2 linked regions of the Coturnix japonica genome follow. The protein of the gene in region 1 purifies or fractionates together with the protein of each later gene. This does not show direct contact. Links are inferred from orthologs where the notes say so. Each region holds a gene or a part of one and is shown on either strand. Other genes may lie near its edges. The genes, in order: CEBPA and MRTO4.

Region 1 (4,431 bases):
TGTGGCTGTAGGAAGCACGGGCACGGCCAGCACTGGCTCTTGGGCCAGCTGGGTCCTACGGTGTTAGCGAGTCTGGGTCAGCATCTGCCCCTCTTCTGCAAATGGGTTTAATGGAGCAGAGCCTGCAGGATCCACACAGCCAGACGTGGCAGAGGTTGTGGGGCTTCTTTGGAGATATTCAAGACCCATATGGACGCCTACCTATGTGACCTGTATGGAACCTGTGTAGTTGGTTGTATGGGTTGGGCTCTGTGATCTCTTCAGGACCTTCCTGACCCCTGCAGTTCTGTGATGCTGTGATTTCTGCTCACATTGAAGCATCCCAGATTTCTGTCACAGGTCAGGGGATTTTATTCTCTATCAGAACTTTGGAGCTCTTCCATATGGGCACTTTGCTTGATCAGGCAGTGCATACCCTTTGTACCCACTGTTATGTGCTGAAACCAAAGTATATCATAATTTCAGAAGATACCATATATAAAAAGCAGTTAGGATTTATCTTTTCTGTTGACATTGAAAGGTGAAAAGTATGTTCATAAATCATAGATTCTGTGTGTTCTGTATTCTATATGGATGTTTCCCACGAGACACTCACAGCAGGCTGTGCTGGCTGCACCTCACGTCTGTGGCTCACGTGTGTGACCCCAAAGGTGGCTCTTGGTTCGTGGTGGTTTTGTTCCTAAGGCTTTGCCAGTCACTGTGAATTGCAAGGAACTCTGAGCAAGCAGTCTGATATCACAAGCTTCTGGTTCATTCAGCCCTCCAGGACTAAGAAATGTGGCAATTCTTTCTGTAGCCATAGCCATACTGGAGTTTTCTCTGCCGATCTCCCTCGCTCTCCCCTGCTTCACTGCCCTCGGTGCGTCCCTCCTTCCACTGTGCTGCTTTCCGAGCGGCCCGGCCCAGCGGATCTAAGGGCCGGCAGTTGGGGTCGGCAGGTCCGGCTGGACGGGGAGGCGGCAGCTCCGTGCCCCGAATCCGTCCCGTGCAGGGAGCGCGGGTCCCTCGGGCCGCGTGTCTCCCAGCAGCTGCTCGGGCCGGACTCGGAGCTGAGCCCCGGCGTTTCGCCTTCCGAGCGGCACGCTCGGGTTTATCTCGGGTAAACGCCGGGAGCCGGTCCACGCCCGACACAGCCCGAGATTGCGGTGTTTGCATTTGGGGAAATCCGTGATTAAATTTACCTGCCCGATTCGCGCCGCGGGACGGGACGGGACGGAGATGCAGCCCCGTGCGTTCATCCCCCACCGCCCGCGCACGGTGGGAGCCGTGGGACAGCGGCAGCGCGTCCCGGCCCGGCTCTGCCCACGGCCCCGTCCCGCAGCGCCGAGCCCCGCAGCCCCGCCCCGCAGGGCGCGCTCCCGGTCGGGTCCCAGCGCCGCTCGGGGCCGCGCTCCGCGGGTCCCCACGGGGCTCAGCTGGTGAACCCAGCGCGTCGAACCGGGCCGAGCTCCGGTAACTCCGCTGGGACGGCGCCTTGGGCCCCGGGGGCGGGCACCGTGCGCCATCCAGCCCGGCGTAATGGTTCGCGCGTAATGGTGAGCTGCGGGGCTGCTCCCCGGTGGAACGGGATCGGGCGCTGCGGGCTCCGAGCCCCCAGAGCGGGGGGGCGGGCGGAGCACAGGGACCGGGCAGGGCTCGGTGAGAGCGGAGCTCCCGAGGGAGGGCGGACGGCCGGGCCGGGGCGCTAAGACCCGGGGCGCGGTGGTCAGAGGTTCCCAGCAGGACACTAGAGGGCGATCCCCGGCCCTGCTGCGGGGGTGTATATATACGGCACGCAGGACCGAGGCAACCCACTAGGAACGGGACAGGCAGGCAGGCGGCGAGCGGGGCTCGGGCGGGCTGGGGCGGGGGACGGGCTCCGGGCGCGCCGAGCGGAGCCGCTTCGAGCCGAGCCGGGGGAGCGCGGGGTGCTGCGGGCTTGGCAGAGCCGCCGCCGCCCCGTCCGAACCCTGGATTGCCGGAGCCCTTCACCATGCCCGGCAGGCTGTAGGTGCTTCATGGAGCAAGCCAACTTCTACGAGGTCGATTCCCGGCCCCCGATGAGCAGCGGCCAGCACCACCAGCTCCAGACTCCCCTGCCCGGCAGCGCCTACGGCTACAGAGAGGCTCCCTCGGCGGCGGCACCTGCTGCGGGCGGCGCGGAGCTCGGCGACATCTGCGAGAACGAGCACTCCATCGACATCAGCGCCTACATCGACCCCGCCGCCTTCAACGACGAGTTCCTGGCCGACCTCTTCCAGCACAGCAAGCAGCAGGAGAAGCACAAGGCCGTCCTGGCCGGGGATTTCGATTTCCACAGCATGCACGGGGCCGGCGCGGCCGCCTCGGCTCCGGGGCACCACCCGCAGCACCAGCAGCAGCCGCTGTTCGGCTGCGCGGCCGGCTACATGGACGGCAAGCTCGACCCGCTGTACGAGCGCATCGCCGCGCCGGGTCTGCGGCCGCTGGTCATCAAGCAGGAGCCCCGCGAGGAGGAGGAGGTGAAGGCGGCGGCCCTGGCGGCCCTCTACCCGCACCCGCAGCAGCACCCGTCCCACCTGCAGTACCAGATCGCCCACTGCGCTCAGACCACCGTGCACCTGCAGCCCGGGCACCCCACGCCGCCCCCCACGCCCGTGCCCAGCCCGCACCACCCGCACCATCCGCACCCCCCGGGCGCGTTGCCCGCCGCCCCCGGCGCCCTCAAGATGATGCCCGCCGACCACCGCGGCAAATCCAAAAAGACAGTGGACAAGAACAGCAACGAGTACCGAGTGCGCCGGGAGCGCAACAACATCGCGGTGCGCAAGAGCCGGGACAAGGCCAAGCAGCGCAACCTGGAGACGCAGCAGAAGGTGCTGGAGCTCACCACCGACAACGAGCGGCTGCGGAAGCGGGTGGAGCAGCTCAGCCGGGAGCTGGAGACTCTGCGGGGCATCTTCAGGCAGCTGCCCGAGAGCTCGCTGGTGAAGGCCATGGGCAGCTGCGCTTAGCCGGGCCCTCCCGCTGCTCCGGGCGGTCCGAGCGGTGCCGGAGCGGGCTCAGATTGTGGGGGGTGGGCTAGTTTGTTTTCCCTTTTTTTTTTTTTTTTTTGTTTCTTTTTTTTTTCTCCCCGACAATAATGACCAATAAAAGAAGCCAGGCAGCTGTAGTATTACCAGGTCGGTGCCTTAGGGTTGACACACGAATAAGCTGAAAAACGTGGTGGGTTTTGTAAGGAGAAAGGAGAGGGGAAGGAAGAGATTAAACAAAAAAGCCCACGTGTCTACACAGGGTAAATGACAATAATAATAGTAACAGTAATAAAGCACATAGAGCAGCCCAGATGTGCCTTAAAGCTGCCTGCAGGAGGTCCGTGCCCTCAGCCCGCCGAGGAAGGAGCGCGGGGACGTGCGGGCTGCGGGGCCGGAACGGGGACGGCGGCGGATGCGGAACGGCAGCGGAACCGGGACCGTCAGCGGGACGGGACGAGCCGAGCGACGGACATCGGGACCCACGGCCAGCCGGGTTCGCGGACAGCCCGTCCCGGCAGCCGGACAGTAGGGCCGAGGGCGGCCCGGCGGAGCTCCCTGCGCCGACGGGGAGAGCGGCGGCGATTCGTACTGTATGTCACGACATGGCGAAGCACAAGTGAATAAATACCTATCGATGCGGGTATTTACTACGAACTCTCAGCGTATTTTGCTTTCTCCCAGGACATTCAGCTCCTCTCCGCGTCTGTGTCTGCCCAAGCTGTGCCTCATGTAATGTGAAAGCCTTTCCGTGTATACTAGCTACACTATTTTTATCGCGTTACTTAGATCTTTGCCATCACACCACTTTCTTATCTGGTGACAGAGACTATGCCCTCGTGCTGCAACGTTATTTTATTATTTGTGTGGGTGGGTGGGTGAGTGCGAGCTGCGCTGCTGCGGGCGGCCGCGGCCCCGTCCGGCCGGGGGCAGCGGGAGGGCAGCGCGGGTGCGTGCGGGGCGCGTGTGCGGCGTGCGTGTGCGGTGGGAACGTGGACGTATATGCACACATCGGTGTTCTGTTTTTGTTTTTTATAATTCGGGAGGGGACCGCATATACAGTTTTGTCGGATAGTCCTGGTTACATTCATAATAAACAGCATATACTCTGCCATCACCGCCCGCTGCGTGTTCCAGTGCTCGTCCCGGGGCCGGCCGGCTCTGAGCCCCTTTCGGCACCGCGGCCCGGGCCGCCGATCGCTCCCGTTTGCCCCGTTCGTGCGACGCCTTCGGGAGGCGGCGGTGTGTCTGTGTCTGTGTCTGTGTCTGTGTCTGTGTCTGTGTCTGTGTCTGTGTCTGTGTCTGTGCCGCGTGCAGGTGCGATCCCGCCGGGCGCTGCGGGGCCGGGGCGGAGGGAGCGACCGGGTGGGACGCGACGGCGTCGGGACACGCGGAGACGCCGCGCGGCCGCTCGCGGTGCCGGACCCCGCCCCTCCCCCGG
Region 2 (4,454 bases), on another chromosome or scaffold:
CAGCTGGAGCAGAATCTGAAGTACAGCGAGGAGGGGCCGCTGCTTGCTCCTGTGGTGGAGGCGTTTGACAGAGCCTGGAATCTGACTGCACACGACTGCCCCAATTACTTCCGCTAGAGACAGAGAGGGAAGTGCCAGCAGAGGAGCAGAGCAGGAGGTACTGACCCACACTGCCCTATGGCTGTGATTTGTCCTATTAATGAAGCTTTGTAGGGTCAGCCATTCCTGTGCCTACACTACTGCTACCAGCACTACAGGTGGGGCCATGCCTTACACTGTCTCCCCTTGGGGACCTTGATCTATGCTGTGATTTCAAAATGCACTTAATCAAAGGAAGGCTTTAGATCTGCACTCAGTTAATAACTAATCTTGAGCGTGGATGAGAATAAACCATTTTTTTTCTAATGCAGACGCTGTGTCTTTATAGCAGAGCTTTAATGTGCTCAGAAATAAACCTGAGCTAAAATGCCCGCAGAGCTAAAACTGAACCTCATGACGTAGAACCCCTGGGCAGGGCAGTGCTGGCTCCACATGTGGAGGCCAATCTGGGCCTGAAATGGATCCCCCATTCCTCACTCAAGTGTCAACAGGCAGCACCAACAATATCTGAGGGTTTTATAGATATTTTTATATAAAAATGGTGGAGTTAGATCACCTTTAAGAATAATGAGTTAATCGTGTCCTCCTGTAGGCAGGGAAGGAAAACATCCTCATCTTTCAGCTCTAAAATAGAGCTTAGTGTCCAAGCACAAGGATTGCTGCTAGTCCTCATTGATGTCAGCGTCCTCCTCTTCTTCCTCCTCTTCCTTTTCTTCCTCCTCTTCCTCCTCATCCTCCCCATCTCCCGCCAGCTTCTCAAAGTCGCCCGTCTCCGAACTCCACAGGAATTTGATGGTCACTTTGAACTCTGCCATCTCGTAGCCAAAGAGTTTCTAGGAAAGGACACAGACTCATCATCCCACCTGGTTATCGTAACAGTGCAGCTCTTAGATGAGCTGCTGTGAGAACCACATGGAACAGTGCACGTCCCAGTGCCTGTGTTCCATTGTGTTCCATTGCTCACCAGGACCCGCGCTTGCTCGGGGGTCAGAATATCCCCTTCTTTGCAGACTTCATAATCTGAAAGCAGCGTCACCACTCCTGCAGGAACAAAAGCAGGGGAAGAAAACCCCATAATCTGGCTTGTTAGTGGATCAGCACTGCAGGAGGGCACAAGGCTGCCTCCCGTCCTATGGCAGCAGCCAGGTGGTGCAACAGGAAGAAAATAAGGCTTTGAGCACCAGCTTTGCTCCAAAACTCAACCCTAAATGCCTACAGAATGTTCTTTTTAACAGACTGCATAGGCACAATGGAAGAGAAAGGGAAGCAGCTCCCTCACACCGTGTACCTTTCTTCAGAGCTGTTGGCAATCCCAGCTGCCGCAGCTGAGGCTCCATGGAGTGGGGAAATTGCTCCAAGGGCCCCATGTCCAGACTGACTGTGTAGGTCGCCTTGTTCCCTGCTCGTGCAAAATCCACCTTCCTGAAGTTGGAGAACCACCTGAGGGAGATGAGCACACACAGGAATGGAGGCACTGTGCAGGTTGCTGGGGGTTGGGGGTATTTTATGACAGAGCAGGTGAGGAACAGCCTGTTGTGCATTTTGGACTTACAATGAGCTGCGATGAGCTCGGTCACACACACATACTTACTCATCCACCTCCTCTTTGGTGCGATTGGTGAAGAGGAGACCAACTTCACCCCTCAGGTGCTCGCTGACCTGTGATAAAGGAGCCCAGAGGTGCTGAGACTCAGAGTTAAGGCTGGAAATGCCCTCATCACCTCCATGGATGAACCCCCCCCTACGGACAGCTGTGCCGGTTGTTTCTAACCGAGTTCCCTCCCACCTTGTGTAAGTTCTCCCTGTATTCGCTGCTTGGCTCCCGGCCCAGCGCCACCATCATCACTTTGTTCTTCCCGAAGAAGATCCTACAATTCAACCAAGAGGAAGATGATGATGATGATGATGGTGATGATGATGGGGTTGACCCCTCTCCATCACTCCCCATCCCGTTGCTCACCTGCTGTGTTTCCATGCGTTCCTCACGTCCTTCAGCTTGTTGTTCCTCATGTTGGCCACGGAGAAGATGAAGATGTGTTTGTAGGTGTCCACGCATCGCCGCAGCTGCACGACAGCGGTTAGCGGGGCCTAATGGGGTGGAGCGGGGCAGCGCGCACTGGGCACGACTCACCTCCGTGATCAGCGCTTGTTTGGCCTCCAGTCCCTTCTTAGGCGTCCGCGTCAGGGACACTGCGGGGAGGGGACGTGGTTCACAGAATGACCCGGGTTGGAAGGGACCTCAAGGATCGTGTAGTTCCAACCCCCCTGCCTGGCAGGGCCACCAAACATACACCTTTACTAGATCAGGTTGCCCAGGAGACCCCATAGACCCCATAGAGACCCCATAGATCAGGTTGCCCATGGCCCCGTCCAACCTGGCCTTGAACACCTCCAAGGACGGGGCATCCACAACCTGCCTGGGCAGCCTGTTCAGGCCTAAACCATCTCTAGTGAAAGAGCTTCCCCCTAACATCCACCTAAAATCTTCCCTCTTTTTAAGCTTAAAACCATTTCCCCGTGTCCTGCTATTGTCAGCCCTTTCCAAGAGCTTAATCCCCTCATGGATGTAGATTCCCTTCATGTACTGAAAGGCTGCAATGAGGTCACCCCGCAACCTTCTCTTCTCCAGGCTGAACAAACCCAACTCGCTCAGCCTGTCCTCATAGGGGAGGTGCTCCATCCCCCTGAATGGTTAATGGGGAAGGGGAGGACGGAACGCCGCGACATGAGCCGCTCACTCACCCTTACGGTCCCGCTTGGATTTCGGCATGGCTCCCCGTGCTTCGAGGCCCCCCGGCACCGCGGGTGCTGCTGGGGATGTGCGGGCTGCCCCGCTCGGTGCCTCCCCGTTCAGGCGCAGCGCAGGGCAGCCCCGTGATGCGGGGAGGTCCCGGCGCTGTCATGGCGGCCGGGCTGTGGGTGCTGCTGCTGCCGCTGGCGGCCGCCGTGTACGAGGATCAAGTGGGGAAGTTCGACTGGTGAGTGCCGGGCTGTCAATGCGGGGCTAAACCCACGGCTCGTGTCCGTGTAACGCTGCCCGTCCCCGCAGGAGGCAGCAGTACGTGGGGAAGCTGAAGTTCGCCTCGCTGGAGGCCTCGCAGGGCTCCAAGAAGCTGCTGGTGGGAACCGAGAAGAACGTGGTGGCTGCGCTCAACTCCCGCAGCGGAGACATCCGTGAGTGGGGCGGGGTGTGGGTCACAGCCCACAGTGCTGTATATCCACTATGAGGGTGACACCAAGCCTATGTGTGCCAGTTATCAGTGCTCCTTCAGGGGGATGTTGGCCCTGAAATCCAAGCTGCAGCTCCCGCAGTGAGGACATGGCTCTTTGCAGTGAGGACATGGCTCTTTGCAGTGAGGCTCTTTGGGAGGTCCCAGGGCCGTGGGTTTGAGAGCAGTCAGCAACATCCTCATTGTGCCCATCTCCTTCTCGCTCTGTGTCTCAGTGTGGCGCCATGCAGACAAGGCCGGCCCTGAAGGAGCCATCGACGCGATGCTGATCCATGGTCAAGGTGAGCACATCACACACAGCAGCTGCTCTGCTCCCCGTGTTGGATGCCCTGGCTCTGGGCTCAGCTCCCTTTGCTCCCTGTGTAGATGCCATCACCGTATCCAGCGCCGGGCGCATCCTGCGCTCCTGGGAGACCAACATCGGAGGGCTGAACTGGGAGACGTCGCTGGACACGGGCAGGTAGCGCTGGGCACCAGGGATAAGTCAGTATTTAGTTAGTAAGCTTAACGTACCTTGTCTGCAGTACAGCAGTTTGGACATCAGGCTTTGAAAATCTGGATGGTTGTATCCAACAGCTCCCCCTGTTTGAGAGCCCACAGATCATTCTCTAATCAACCATCTCTGACCTGTGCTCAGTTTCCAGGCCGCGAGTCTGGTGGGGCTGCAGGACGCGGTGAAGTACGTGGCAGTGCTGAAGAAGGCGGCCATCTCCCTGCACTACCTGTCCAACGGGCACCAGAAGTGGGTGGAACAGCTGCCTGAAAGGTGAGGATGTATTTGGAGCTGAAGAAAGAAAGTTCAGACTCACAGCCCAACTCAGGATGCTTCATGTCCTTGAAAAGCTTTGGAAGCAATAAGACGAGCAAACGATGCCTCGTGCCCTTTGTTTCTCGCACAGTGAGGATACTCGATACCAGATGTTGTATTCCCGTGGGGCTGGAGTGATCCATGTGCTCGGAGTTGTCCCCCAGAGCCATCTGAAGGTGTTAACGCTCAGTGTGGAGGATGGAGAAGTCATAGAACAGGTAGTTGTGCTCGATTGTGGATCCAATGTGGCAAATTTGATATGAACAAACACAGTGCATGGAGTTGTGTATGTAAGTTCATTCCTTAAACATCATCAT

What was found.
Region 2: the proteins of CEBPA (region 1) and MRTO4 purify together in Homo sapiens (affinity purification with mass spectrometry; 3 studies listed by BioGRID and IntAct, with this or other methods). This does not show direct contact. The link is inferred for Coturnix japonica from reciprocal best matches to the Homo sapiens genes CEBPA and MRTO4.

The regions. Positions count from the first base shown.
Region 1 is NC_029526.1:8,911,629-8,916,059, reverse strand, and holds CEBPA (CCAAT/enhancer-binding protein alpha), read left to right. Parts: upstream 1-1,579; 5' UTR 1,580-1,997; coding exon 1,998-2,972; 3' UTR 2,973-4,107; downstream 4,108-4,431. UniProt on the Homo sapiens protein: Transcription factor that coordinates proliferation arrest and the differentiation of myeloid progenitors, adipocytes, hepatocytes, and cells of the lung and the placenta.
Region 2 is NC_029536.1:4,063,687-4,068,140, reverse strand, and holds MRTO4 (mRNA turnover protein 4 homolog), read right to left. Parts: upstream 2,967-4,454; 5' UTR 2,870-2,966; coding exon 2,842-2,869; intron 2,290-2,841; coding exon 2,231-2,289; intron 2,164-2,230; coding exon 2,060-2,163; intron 1,968-2,059; coding exon 1,886-1,967; intron 1,759-1,885; coding exon 1,691-1,758; intron 1,540-1,690; coding exon 1,388-1,539; intron 1,141-1,387; coding exon 1,064-1,140; intron 933-1,063; coding exon 762-932; 3' UTR 608-761; downstream 1-607. Other genes in the region: AKR7A2 (aflatoxin B1 aldehyde reductase member 2), read left to right, coding at 1-117; EMC1 (ER membrane protein complex subunit 1), read left to right, coding at 2,977-3,077, 3,149-3,273, 3,545-3,610, 3,696-3,789, 3,967-4,095, 4,229-4,355. UniProt on the Homo sapiens protein: Component of the ribosome assembly machinery. Nuclear paralog of the ribosomal protein P0, it binds pre-60S subunits at an early stage of assembly in the nucleolus, and is replaced by P0 in cytoplasmic pre-60S subunits and mature 80S ribosomes.